2 linked regions of the Lonchura striata genome follow. The protein of the gene in region 2 purifies or fractionates together with the protein of the main gene of each other region. This does not show direct contact. Links are inferred from orthologs where the notes say so. Each region holds a gene or a part of one and is shown on either strand. Other genes may lie near its edges.

Region 1 (6,985 bases), on a different chromosome or scaffold from region 2:
CTAATCTGTGCTCATCTCTGGAGCGATGTTCCTCCTCTGCAGGGCCCTCGGCTGACTCAGGCTTCGCTCCCAGCCCTACGCCTACAGCAGGTCCCCAGACCACGGGCAAACCAACGGCTCCCAAGCTGGAAAAAAATAAAAGTAATCCTCACTCACACTGAGCCGTGGAGAATTGGTGATAAATACGGCAAACGAGCTGCACGCCTCAGCCAGGCCATTTATAGCATTGACACCCAGTGGCTGCTGGTAACTCAACTTGAAAGTGTGTTAAAGAAACTCTGCACTTCCTTGGCTTAAGCGGTAAAACCTGCAAGTATGCAACTTTCAGAGCAGCCTGGCAGTTATGCAGCCAAAAGGATGGGGGCATAACACGGTGACTATTTAATTATGGAAGGAGAGTCCATGTGTATTTACCCAAAAGCAGCAGCAGGCTATGTACTGCGCTCTACCAGAGGGTACTGCAGCCAAAAAACATGCCAGTAGCAGCTCTCCCTGTGACAGCAGAGGGATGTGGGCATGGGATGTGCTCAGTCTGTTAGAGGGAGGTGTGCGAGACTTCTTCCTTGCTGAAGCACCACGGGACAAGCAGCAATAAAATAGGAAGCGCCAAGTAAGTTACACAGCTATCAGTGTTTCTTACTTGCTCGCCTGAATTTGGGAGCTATTTGATTTTATTTTGGTTTGTTTGGCTTTTAGTTCTCCTCTACTCATTCTGAAAAGGCACTTAAGGAGACTAAAATACCACTGGAAAAAAAAAAGCAGCACTTTCAAGTGACAAGTTACCTTATTTAAAAGCTGTTAGCTATCAATCACTTCGCTCCTATTAAAGTTTTTCATGACAGATGTCTTCAGACAATTATCCTTTAAATTTTTTAGTCAAACACATCGGTAGAAACTAACAAACTACTTTCAAAAGCCCTAAAACTTTCAGCTAAAAATGAATTACAGATCAATCTGCATTTCCTTAGCAGGATGTTGCTTACCTCTGAAAAAAATAGAAATTTACGAAAAAACTGATGTAACAAACATTCCTAGCAGCGCAATTAAAAATACATAAATGCAGGATTTGAGTTGACACTTTTTTCTAAAAAAGAGATAGATAATACAAATACTAAAAGGCGAAGCAAAGAGTTTGATTGGCCCTAACTGGAACTAAATCCCGAACACACCAGAGTGCGCCGATGCCGTGCTAGGTGCTCGCACCTCACGCCATTTACTGCCATCATTTAATCCCTCGCAGGGCGGCGGAGGCTGTGCCTGTACGCAGACGGCACAAGCTTCTTCTGACAATGCTCTCACGCAAGTGTCACAAAACTCGGCGCTGCCTCCGCCGCGCACGGGGACACGGCTTGGTGACACTTTCTCGGCGGAGGCCTCGGAGAGATAGGATTCACTGGCAGCAGCGCTCAGCCTTAGCCTTTATCACCCACGGGGATGCAAAGCTGGAGGGTACTATGCGGCTGGCGCTGCCACCGGGGCCGCACAGGCCCAAGCGCAGCTTCGCCTGGCTCGCCCCGCAGCTGTCGGGGGGCGGCCAGTGCCCGAGGGCTCCCCGGGACCTGGCGAGCGCGTCCCTCGGAGATCCCACCGGGGGCTCCAGGCAGCACCGGCTGCGGCTCCGGCCGGCGCGGGCTCAGCACAAATCCCGGCCGCCAACAGGTTGCTCCGCTCAGACGGCAGGACTGCGCTGCGGGAGAGAGGGAGCTCCGTCCCACCACGTAATACAAGAACGGCGCTCCCGCCACTCAAGTTTAACAAAGCCATCACGTCAAATACTGCGGCTTACTCATTAAACACAAGGTATTTCTGCAACCCTTGTTCTGCCTCCGCTCTTTCCCCATCCCTGTTTGCCTCTGTCCTCGCTCCACCGCCCGACGGCAAAGCCCTGCAGCACCAGGGTAGACGGCGGCACGGACCGGCCGCGTTCCGGGGCCGGGCAGCGCCGGGGCCGCGGCGGAGCTCCCGCGGCACCCCCGGCACACGGGTGCTTACCCCGGGCCCGCCGGCCGCCCCGGGCAGCAGGAGGCGGCGCCGCTCCTGCCGGCTTTGCCCGGGGACGGCGCCGTGACACCGCGTGAACTTTTGCTTTCGGCGGGGCAGGGCTGGGGGAGGCGGAGAGCGGGGGGGGCGGCCCCGGTCCCTCCAGCGCCCCAGCGGCGGGAGGCCAAGAACGCTTTTCTCCCTTAGGAGTTCTCCCTTTGGAAAGGTGAAAAAAATAAAAAAGAAATGTGAGGTCAAACTGAAAGCGCGGAGCCGGAGCACTGCAGGCTGCGCAGCGGGCATCACGCCGCCGGCGGGGCGGCGTGCCCAGCCGCCTGCAGCGCCGCGGCTGTGCCCGGGACGGCAGAGCCTCCCGGGACCCCCCGCCGACGGGGCGTCCCCCACCACCCGCCTCTTACCTTCCAGCCGGCCGAGCTGTTGCTGTCGCCCTTATCCTTGAAGTAAGGGACGCTCTTGACCATCCACTCGTAGATCTGGGAGAGGGTGAGCCGCTTCTCGGGGGAGCTCTCGATGGCCTTGGTGATGAGGTCTGCGTAGGACAGGTTGCCCCACGCGTTGCGCCGCGACGAGCTGCTCTTGCGGGGCTGCCCAGGCACGGGGCCCGGTGACAGACCGGCCACAGGCGGCGGCACCGGTGGCACCGGCGGCGGTCCCGGCGGGTGGAGGCGGCAGCCGGCCTCGGGCGCCGGGAAGTCCCCGCAGCGGCAGGCGGCAGCCTCCGGGGGGGCGGCGGCGGGGGGCAGCGGCGCGAAGTCCTCGCTCTCCTCTAGCAGGCTGAGGTTGCTGATGAAGTCGGCGCTCAGCGGTCCCGAGGTGGCGGCCCCGGCCCCGGCCGCGGCTCCGGCCGCCCCATCGGGCTGCCCGCCGCACGACGGCGCCGGGCTGGAAGTGGCCGAGCTGGGGGTGTTGAACTCCGGCCGCGGCAGAGGCCAGGTGCAGGAGCGCGGCCGTGGCAGCGGCTCGAAGTCGGGGTCGATGTCCACCAGCTGCGGTGCTTCGGCCATGGCGGGGCCGGGGCGGGAGCGCGGCGGGAGCGGGGCGGCTTGGGCTCAGCGCCGCCGCCCCATGCAGGCTCCGGGAGCGGATCGGCGCGGCCCCGACGGCGCTACCGCCGACTCTCCTGGCCCCGCCGCCCTGGACCTCCGGCCTGACCTCCCGGCCCCGTCGCCCTAAACCCTGCCCCTGCCCGGCTCCCTGCCCTCCGCGGCAACTGCAGCAGCAGCAGCGACCCGGCCGCCCGGCGCGCACCGACTGGAGCGACCGCCCCGCGCGGGCCCGCCTCCAGTCTCCCTCCTCCTCCTCCTCCTCCTCCTCCCGGCGGGGAGGGACGGCCCGCGCCGCGCCAATGGCAGCGCCGCGCCGCCGCCCGCCTCCCGCCGCGGGGCTGCTCCGGCAGGAGGGTGCCGGTGCCCCCCGTGCTGCTTCTGGGTGGTTTTTGTTTCCCGGCAGCGCAGCGGGGAGGGAAGGGGCGAGCGGGCGGGCGGCGGTGCCCCCCGCGGCCGGGGCTGCCCAAAGGCAGCCAGTGCTCGCACGGCGAGCCGCGGAGGGTGGCCACGGAAAATTCCCCCGCGAGTGTTTCTACCTCAGTCGCTGCCGGCGGGGTCCTGCCGCCCGCATCGACGGGCCCGGTGCGTGTCGCCGCCGGGGATGAGCGGGGAGCCGGGAGCATCCCTCGGCTGCAGCGGGGCGGCTGCGGGAGTGCGCGGAGCGGGGGCCGTCTCCCCGCTCCCGCGGCATCCCGGCAGCGCTGGCTCCGCGCGGAGCGCTGCTGCCGCCCGGCTGCCCGCCCCGCGGGAGCCCTGGCAGCCCCGCATGCCGGACCGGGGCTGCGACAGCTGCCCTGCCTCGCTCCCCTCTCCTCCCTCCTTCCCCGGCCGGCTCCTCGCCAAAAAGTGTCGGCACCTCCCGAAGCGATAAATCTCCCTTTCGGCTGAGCATGTTTTCATGCCGTGAGCTGGTGTTTTATTCCGTGATCAAGCACGGAGCACGGGATAATTTCATCCTAAGTCAACTATTGAACATACTTTTTATTTTTCCCGGCAAACCCCAGGGTTACTCAATTCATTGAGGTTTATATTCTTCCCTTTCAATGAGGCAACAGTCACAGGACACATCGCCTCTGCCTCCCCTGCCCATCAACTATACGAAGATATATATATATATATATATATATATATATATATATATATATATATATATATATATATATATATGTTCAACATAACACAGAAGTGTTATTCTGTTTAAAGTTAAAAAGAAGACATTTTCTTGAACTACGGAAATAATCCCAAGGATGAGACATGACTCAACACCTTGTTCAAACTGGCAAAGCCTACATTTTAGAAAATCTGTTTTGTTTTCAATAGCAGGAGTGCTTTTAAAAAACATACTTCAGACATGGCTTCATAAGTCACAAAATTCACAACCAGCCATGGCATTTGACGTTGCATGTCATTGAACCACCATAGCTGGGTAACTGTCAAAGCTGAGCCAGAAAACCTGTTACCCTTCCCTCCTTTCTGCATCAAGGCAGAAAGTGTTAATGTTATTTAAATGCAGTTCATTGTTCCTATAAAAATATTTTCTGAAAATGAGTAACAATAATGAAGGGAAGAGAATACAAGACTGGCTTTAGGCCACGGCATGTAATTTACTGTCAGATCATACATCTAGATACTCATGCTGTCTATTATGAAAATGCTTTTTAAGATACGTGGTGACACCTAACTATATAGTTTGTGCAAAATATACATAAGTGCATAGTAACTGATCACATTTTAAAGCACTGGTTTTGTCATGTTTATTTTACCAAATGCCAAAGGTGATTATACCTTATTATAGGTTGGCTGCTCATCAGATTTTGGAGTTGCTTTGCCTTTAAGTAATTTCTATGTTTTGTTAATCCTTTAAAGGATTCAACCCACAAATTTATATTGCTTAGCCCATGGATTTTAGAAAACACCTTTTTTCAGGCTTTTTTTTTTTTTTTCAGTTTAAGAAAAAAAAGAAGGAAAATAAAAGAAAGCAAAGCAGTCCCAGTTCAACCTAATAACTTGCATGCCACGTTTCAGCTTGGAACAGCTTTATGTGGCAGTGTTACACAACTCAGCTGCAGTAGTTGCCCTGCAATAAGGGAGAGCACCCTGCCTTGGAGAAGCAGAGGTTATATAATGGTGAGAAGCAGCCAGGGACGCGCAGCGAATGGATGTGTTTAAATGGGAGCCAAAACAAAAGAAGTGCTTGAGAACACAGAAACATATTCTTTTTCTTTCCTTGGTGTCTGAAAAAAAATAAAAGGGGGGTCTAAGAGCCAGATTGGCACCCATCCTGCGAAAGGAAGTGGATTTATTACCCAGGCTTTCTTCTAAGGAGTTTTTTTAATCTTGCAGTCCTTGCTCTTCTATTTTGTCCAAAGTAGAGATGTTATTCCCTGAACTCTATTGGAATATGCAGATGTTTAAAAAAAAAAAGCTTCCCTTTGTCAGATGCCAACTGTGAAAACCGGGAGGAAAGCTACTTTTTGGGAATTTCAGGAAGCCCTGGTGCATTTGTAGTTCAGCCCAGGTCATTCTGCAGGATAGAGGTTGTATTCCTCTTTCTTGGCCCTACATGACATTTCTGTCACTGCCCTCACCTTCTTGGCAGGGCTCTGCCACCTTTGTGCCCCATGTCACTGATGTTCTTGCAGCTCAGAAGTTAACAGTGAATACAGAGACTGCAGACAGCAGCTTGAAGTGAGATGTGAGGGACATGGAGGTGGAGAAGATAATACCAGAAACTTCCAAATGCTGCAGTTGCTCAGCAAGTGGGGCCCCGTGACTCACAACGCAACAGGCAGAGCTGAGCTGCAGAGATTTTGGCTATCACAGGCCAACAGCTGGGACTAGGTCTGCTGAGGGTTGAAGGAAGGATGAAGGCCAATGAGACAATACTGTGCACTTCTCTGGGATGAGTAATCCTGGTAGTTTGCTCTGACTTTGGCAGAACCACCCAGGTGAATGAGTTCTTCTGTTGGGCCCCAGTGTGATCAGCCACTTTTTAGAATATCTTCACACTTGTCAAGAATTTGGGGTTTGAATCAACAGATTTTAGAGTCAAAGCAACACATGCCATGCACAATAAAAGTGTCTAACCCTGTCTGCACTGCTCTCCTAGTGCACTCCAACACTGCTGACCACCCTTAGGCAATGTCATGTGAACAATCCCACCCATTCAGCTGCTGAGGGGAGCTTCCTGCTCCTAAAACAGCTCAGCATAGTGATGCCTCGGTACAAGAAATTTTACTGCATCTACAAATGACAGCATTAGGTTTATCTCATCTCCCACAATTCTGAAAGGCTGATGGATGCACCACAATTCATTTTCTACTCCCACCCTCCTCCTCCTACACTCCACCTTTTCATTTCTCTACTCCTACTCCTGCTCCCATTTTCTACTCCTCTACAATACAATATCTCCTATCAACCTTAACATCAGCTTGTATTTTTTTTCGAATTTAAGACCTGAACATTGCCTTTTATCATCACTGAAATAAAGCAGAGCCTTCTATTCATATTCTGGGTTTGAAGCAGCCAAAATAAAGGATCTGTGCTGTCTTTTTACTACTGTCTGTATAATTCACGTTCTGAGGTTTTGATCAAATTCTGCAGGAGATTACATGAAGTTGAAAGCACTCATACTCTATGTACAGCTCTTTTTTTCTACACGTATGTGCACAGTGAGAGAGTACAAATGTTTTTACAGCATGAAAAGCAACAATGAAATACCCAGTTGTGTCCGGTATCATCAGAGCTGGGAGAAATCCTATTTTCTGAGCAAGGATGAGGAAGTTCAGTACCCCCAGTTTCCTCCCCTGAACCTCAGAGGGGACATGATTTGCAGTGCATGTTTCTGAGCAGCCCAAGTTACCAGAGGGCTGGCACAGCACCTCAGTCACCTCCCCTCCCAGCCCAGGGTAGCTGAGGGCCACCCCACACAGAAGGGT
Region 2 (7,462 bases):
TTGCTTTTACCACTGGAAGTTTTGTAAGATGTGAACAAAAATTTAGAGCATTATTGCATTAAATTTAATTATTAATTGTTCACAGATCTGCCAACTCAGGCTTAGAAATGTTGGTTGATATTTTAAATTTTTTTTACATGCTAACACACTAACAGAATAGTCTTGCTTTTAAAAAAATATATTCTTACTTCTGAAGAATAAACCCCTTTTGATAAAAGTTGTTTATCAATAAACACTGCTTATCAAAGCATTGTAGTAGTCAATAAGGACTGAAATCATTGTCTCAGACTACCCCAAAATAGCATGGGAAGAGGAACAGGTGTGTGCAAGTATGGAAAGAGCAAGACTGGGAGTAGCAGTGCTCTTCTAAAAGCTGATTTGAATTACTCATCTGATCTGGATCGTATCATACCATCTGTGTGTGAACAACAGAAACAAGAAATGATCTGGTGCACAGGTACAGAGCTGCAAATGTGCTGCAGCTCAGAAATGTTCTTTAGTCAAAGAGTGAGTAGTTTTATCAGCACCACAGAGCACCACGTGCTGAAAGTAACATTCAGTCTGCTGAAATCTGACCAAACTGTCCTTATGATCATCCTCCTCCTCCCCCCCAACTCTTTTCAAATCCTCTTCTTCCAGTCCCTCAAGCTCCATCTGGGATTTTAAGAGATCCACTGAGATTCTGCTTTAAAACAAAAGACTAGGATAGAAAAAGTTCTGGACAGATAATGTGTTCTTATTCCAAAACTGTTTTGCATGGGAGCAGCTGTTTACAAGTTTCTGTGTCTAAGAATATTTGGTTCTGAGAAGAAAGATGTGTGATTTCCAATGGAAGCTGCAGTCCTTGCAGTGGACTGGACTCTTCCCCCGACAGCTGTTGGCAGATTTACTGCAGGGTTTGCAACCTCTTGTTCCCATCCCTGCAAGCTGTACTGAAGTACTGAACCAACCTGGCTCCACATTTTCACACCGTCATTGCAGCAATACCTACCCCAGCTCCAGTCAAGACCATGATCTTCTTGCACTCCTGCAAAAGTTTCACAGCATCATCAATGGTGTTGATATCTTTCCTCTTCTTCCTTTTTGGTGGCTCTGAAAGGATGTTTATCACGATTTGCCACAGAGTCATGTCATCCAGTTCAGGTGGGGGGATCGTTTCTGGTAGCAGGTCCTTCAGAATCATCCGTGGGTCTGTACCTAACATGAGATGCTGCTGAACAAAAGTGTAGGGACCTAAGAAAATTTAAAAATACAGATATTTAAAACAGAGTTAGGTACTACAAATTATCATGGTTATTGTTCCATTTATTAATCCTTACTAGTACAGTTTCATTAATCCAATTTAATGCTCCATTTATCAAACCCCCTGTATTTTGATCTAAAAGTGAGAGCTGGGCATTTTATTTATATATCATTATTTTATGTTAACCCATGAAGGATTTCATAGAAAGTCGGTCAAGTGAAAATCCCAGTTCACAGCAAAGTTAACCTCTTTTAGAGGTGCAACAGGATTTTCACAATGTGCCTCCATCTGTACTTTCCCAACATTCAGTATTTACAGGAATAAGCTGACAACAAACAAACAACAAACATACATATATTTTCCAGAGATATTATAAACCATCACTCTAACCAGACACATAGAGACCAGAAATCCATGATTTTTGTTGGTTTTTTGGTCATTTAACACAAATTATTTCAGACATTACCTCCTCAAGCCATTAAATCAATCTTTCCAGAAACACTTGAGATGAGGGCTCACTGTCCTAAAATCATACAGGGATCATCTTCTTGTCCCTTAAAGAATTAATACTAAGTAGGCAAGCTATAGAAACATGCCATAAATTAGTCTAATTTAGTGAACCTGTGTGTATGCTTTTCATAGGAATTGTGGCAGGATTTATATTCAAGAAAAAATTAAGACATTGACAATTTTAATCAAAATACAGCAAGTTTCAAGGTTCATTTTTAAACTCCTTAAATAACATACAGAATACAGTCAACACTCTAAGCTGTTCAGAGGCACTAACTGCCAATATTTTTGCAACAGGAAAAATAACTTGAACACTAGGGAGTGATTGTTCAAAGGCAAAGAGCATCCAAGATCATGCTCCAGGCTTTTACCTATACGTGGCCTTGGGGTCCAGTCACTGGAACTTGCATGGGAGGCTCTGTCTTCCTCATCACTGTCACAGGAGTGAAAGCCATTGGCTATGATTTCTTCGCTGAGGAGGAAGTTATCTGCAAGACAGCATGAGCATGGGGTTACACTCCAGCCCAAGGGCACAGTGCATCTTCAAACTGATCACAAAAACAAAAATCACACAGTCAGAAGCTTTGTCACTTAGGCACAGAAAATGTCTATTTCTCTTCACATTTAGAGATGGACTTCCAAGATGTTGGTAGATTTACTGCAGGGTTTGCACCTCAGTGCTGGGCTTCAGGGGGACTGGATGCTGACCTTGGTGAAATCTTGTTCTCTAAAGTGTTGGGCATTATGGGTATTTCACCATAGAAATAATCCAAATGTTTTAAAAGTATAACTGAAAACGTCTTTCCCTTTCCCACTGCATTCAGTTCATTCAAAAACTGGGTAAAATGAAAACATGTCACCAGTGCAGACAGATCTTTGACTAGGTTTTAAGAGCATTTAACAACATTTTGAAAGAAACCCACAAATGCACATTTGCTACAACAAATTCACAGGATTTGGTGAGGATGTTACCTTGCAGCTCGGCTGTATTGCTGACCACATACACAATTTATGATATTTCAGTTGTGACACAGAACATGCTCCCCTGTACCACCTTCACTAAGTTTCTCTCGTCCATTTGGCCCTGCAGCTGGGCCTGGCTCAAAGTGCCAGAGTCACCTCAGCTCAGCCCGTGGCTTTAAGCCAGAGTAACTCAATCTAACTCCATCTCAGACCTCGATGAGTGAGCCCAGGGCAGAACAAGAACAATTTGTGTTACTGAGCTCACGTTGAAGGGGAAATCTAAATTCCAGCCTGAGCAGCTTATTAGAACATAGACTACTCAACAACCTTTTTTACTGGCTTCATTAGAAATAGCCTCAGCACCTGTAGCTTCATTTGCTGAAAATCTATGGACAAAGAACAAATTTCACTCATGCTCTGTAAAGCAAAGAATCACTGACGTAGTTCTCATTCTCGTCTGAAGAACTGAAGAACCCCCTGCACTGTTTTAGCTGTTATTCCGCTCGATTCTCAAATAAAGAACACCACTAAACACCATCATTTTTTATTCAGAGGTTGTGTTGTCCTTCTCCTTGTTAGCATAAATTTTTGATTTGACTTTATTTTTGATTAGAAAATAAAGATCAATGACAGAAATTTGTTGTTGGTCCTTGCTGTCTTGTTCTTCTGAGGCCACAGGTGCTGATGGACATTACTATTTCCTATTAATCTACTTATTTACAGCATTTCAGTTCCATCATGTTATGCATGAAGTCAGTGAACATTGAGAATTTTGGAGAAGGAAAAAGTGCATTAGTACACATCAGTAACCGCGAGGTACAAGTTTAACTTGAGCGACCTTTATGGCTTCTGTATCAAGAAGCAAAATTTACATTGTGAAAGGCTCCTCACAGGCAGGGCATAGGGCCTGGGATTCAGGAAACGCTGACAGATACAAGAAGGATAAAGTAACAGTTCAAACTGTAACACTCCCTGAGTATTCCTCAAAGGACCAGAGGGGATAATGCAGGCCAGAACTAAGCCAGCCACAGCAAAACACCTGAGGCTCGGAGGGACCTGAGCAAAAGGCTTTGTGTAAGGCACTAGTAACAGATCATTGGCTTGGCTGTCAGCTGTTCTAGTGGAGATTTTAAATACTGAGGCTGTTCCAGGTTTACTCTATACCTGTTCCTTTTGTACTGCTTTTGCACAGACATTTGCTACAGAGTTGAAGTACCTCTAACGGCATTCCAAGATAAAATGTAAAGACTATACTGGCAGAATCCAGTGTCTGATAAATTTTAATAAGTCTTTCCAAAGCACTGCTTTAAAAAAAAAAAAAAAAAAAAAAGGCAAGCCAAAATTAACAACTCAAACAAAACAGAACTCAAACCTGATCAGTGTGCACTGTGAGGTACTTTCACAGTGATGCTGATGCTGCCCACCAGTAAATATCTGAAAGAAACTTTTTAGGAAAAGAGAGGATACTGCACCCCGTATCCTCTGAGATCTAGCTTAGTTTTGTGCTGCAGTCACTGAAACCTTAGCCAAGACTGTCACTTGCAGTTCTTTAAAGAACTAGTCAAGACTGCTGCTGCTGAGCCTATGTGCAAGTTTCTAAGGATCAGAAATAAAATAATTAACGCGGCAGAGATTGCGAAAAGGAAACCGGGCTTATATTTGTTCATTTTTAATAACTTGCTGCCAGCAACACAGCAGAATAGATGTTTTCAGGGCTGAGAGCCGAGCCGCTGCCCTGGCCGGCGGGGCCGGGCCGGTGACACGGCGCCCCTGCGACACGCGGGGGCGGCGCTGTGCGGGGAGGAGGGAGCCGCGGAGGAGGGGAGGGAGGGGAGAAGGGAGGGGTCGCTCCTCACCGGGATGCGGGGCCGGCACCGCGGCCGCCCCGTTCGAACACTGCGCCCGCCCGCAGCCCGGGGCCGCCTCCGCCGCGTCTTCGCCGGGCGCCGCCTCCGCGCCCTCCCCCTGATCCCGCCGCGGAGGCGGCTCCGCCCGGGGCAGGCCCCGCAGCCCGGCCCCGCCGTCCGCGCCGCTCCGCGCCGCCGCCGCCTCGCCGCCGTCCTCCCGCTCCGCCCGGCCGCCATCGAACCCCGCGGCCGCCGTCTCCCCCGGCGGCTCCGCGGGCACGGCGGCGAGGGGCGCGGGCGGCGGCCCCGCGGCGCGGTCGGGGCGCGGGGCGGGCGCGGCGCTCCCCGATCCGCGGCGGTGCCGCTTGGCCGCGGGCTCGGCGCCGTCGCTGCCGGGGCCGGCGGGGCCGCGCGGGCGGAGCGGCGCAGCGTCCCCGTCCGCCATCTTGGCGCCGCCGCAGCCGCCGCCCCCCTCGCGCCCGGCCCCCCCCGCCCGCCGCGGGCAGCGCCGCCGCACGTGACCGCGGCACGTGACCGCGCCACAACAAACCGGGGCACGTGACCGGCGGCGCTGCCGGCGTCACGTGGCGCTCGTGCCGCCTCGCGCCCCCTCCCTCGGGCGGCCCCGCCGGCCCCGCCGGCCCCGGGCCCTCCCGTCCTTCCCGGCCCTCCCGTCCTTACCGACCCTCCCGTCCCTTCCCGTCCCTTCCCGAGCCTGCCCCGAGCCTGCTCCCCGCCCTCCTGTCCCTCCTGTCCCTCCCGTCCCTTGCCGCCCCGGCCCTGTGCCGCTCGCCCCCGCCCCTGCCGAGGGAGCGCCCCGGCACCGCGGGGTCCGGCAGGGATGCTGTGGGGCATCGCCCCGTGTCCTCCGGGAAAACACATCAGCCCCACCCGAGATCCTGCATCGCGGTACTTGAGCTCCCGGGATGCAGGGGCTTGTTTGGGGGGGGCAGCACCTGTCTAAATCACTGCTGCTTTAGGAATGGAACCTGCGTGGTGTAGGAGAGGCCTGATGGTAAGCGGCGAGAGTTGGGATTTGTTCGAATAACAAAAACACAAATCCATTGTGTTTCCCGTGCTGCGCGGGAGTGGGCGCGGCTGGTCTCCCTGCTGTCCCGGGGATCTCTCGTTCCCTGGAGTGCAGGAGCAGCCCTTAGAGCCCCACCTGGGCGCTGCAGCCAACAGGACCGTGCCACGCGTGGGCTTCCCATGGCAGAGTTCCCTTCCGCCTTGGAGGTTGGACTGGATAGAACTCAGCCTTCTTCCCAGAACTGCCACCAACACAGAATTTTGGTCTAAACTTCATGGATAGAAATGTAAATGCTGCTTTGTTGTTACTGTTCAACATCACGAGCTATTTGCAGGATAGTATTAGTGGCTTTAATACAATGGAATTCCTAACTTTAGTGGCAAGACCCAGGTTACAGAGGTAGAATTTCTCCCTTGCAGGCCTTGCTAACCAACAGCTTTTAAAAAAACCTTGGGATTAAAAATGTTGATACATGTGGCTTCAAAGGGATTATTTTATGGATAATTAACTTTATAGGTAGTCTTTGTTGGGGGAGAGAGGTTTGGGGATCTTTTCTGGTTCTTTAAGGTATTAAAAACCCTGAAAAATACGTACATACTGGTTTTTCCCACTACCTGCTTCTCAAAACAAGCTGCAGAGTAATCAGATCAGAAAGTTTTTATTATTCTATGCAACTTTGTGTGCAAGCGTTCTTTTTCCTTCTTGCCTCTGGAAGCTGAGGCGAGATCTGTATTTCTTAAAAAACACATGCAAGATGCATTTGTCAGCATATAAAGGGGAGGTGGGGATGTAAGATTGGTTTGGTGGTTATTTTTGTGAAGACAGTTCTAAGGAAGAAATAATCCAAGTGATGCAGAGGTAGTATCTGAGGTTTCTGTGGAGGTACCGGTGAGGGAGTGGCTCAGGGATCCTAAAGCCACCTCTGATCCTGCAGACATTGCTCCACGTCAGCGATGGTGCTGCAGGAGTTACCTTCTTGTGGGAGGTCAGTTTGGCAGTACTTGGGTCCTCTGCTGTTTCTGCAGCTCTGAGCTTCTGTGAGAACAAGGATGGGGCACACCATGCAAAACTCAAATGAATTGTATGGTGCCTTGGACTTCTCATAAATGTGTTCTCTGCCCTCAGGAAGCAAAACCTCTGAAGTCAGTTGAGAAGAACTGGTCCTGGAAGATTTTATGTATTTTACAGGAATAAATTCAAATAGAGATTTCCAGACCTTACTGTTTTATTTCAATGGTTATTTATGACTTTTACAGGTTGTTGGTAAATGTCCTGTTACATTGGAGCAGGATTTAGATTCACTCTAGGCTCTAAACAAACAGAATTGTCAATATGTGTTAGGACTGAGAGACACCTTTTGTTGGTGGTTGGGTACAGAGAACAAATATGAGATTTCCTCACTTCCAGAACAGTTTGTACATCCTGAGCAACACTAACCACGGCATGTGTCTGTGCCATCTCCTGCGCTGCAATTCCCTTTTAAATGAACTTTATGTCCCAGAGCATATCTTTGTAATTTTTTTGTGTAATACACGTGGCTGCTCTTGCACTCCTTTTTGATGATGCCTTGGGAGTTGCCCCTCAGAAGTCAATAGGAGCAGTGAAAGGCTGAGTTCTTGTTCAGTGTATTTTGTGTTCTCCAGACACGAACCTGCACTGGGAGCCTTTGTGCCTCGAGGGGTGAGTGTGGGCACTGCTGCAGTTCGGTCAGAGCCGTGCTGTGTGTGGCAGAGGAGTCCAGGCGGGGCTGAGGCTCCAGGGAGCACATTCCCAGGGAATACCCAGCTGCCAGGTTTGTCACTGCAGTGCAGCCCTTGGACCTGCAGCTGCCCAGCAGCACAGAAATAGCCACTGAAAGCTGGAGGGGAA

The links. The genes of interacting proteins can lie anywhere in the genome.
Region 1: the proteins of SIRT1 (region 2) and FOXO1 purify together in Homo sapiens (affinity purification with western blotting; 5 studies listed by BioGRID and IntAct, with this or other methods). This does not show direct contact. The link is inferred for Lonchura striata from reciprocal best matches to the Homo sapiens genes SIRT1 and FOXO1.

The regions. Positions count from the first base shown.
Region 1 is NC_134604.1:63,789,309-63,796,293, reverse strand, and holds the start of FOXO1 (forkhead box protein O1), read right to left. Parts: upstream 3,021-6,985; 5' UTR 3,006-3,020; coding exon 2,400-3,005; intron 1-2,399. UniProt on the Homo sapiens protein: Transcription factor that is the main target of insulin signaling and regulates metabolic homeostasis in response to oxidative stress.
Region 2 is NC_134609.1:35,338,472-35,345,933, forward strand, and holds the start of SIRT1 (NAD-dependent protein deacetylase sirtuin-1), read right to left. Parts: upstream 3,071-7,462; 5' UTR 2,125-3,070; intron 1,234-2,124; 5' UTR 1,205-1,233; coding exon 992-1,204; intron 1-991. UniProt on the Homo sapiens protein: NAD-dependent protein deacetylase that links transcriptional regulation directly to intracellular energetics and participates in the coordination of several separated cellular functions such as cell cycle, response to DNA damage, metabolism, apoptosis and autophagy.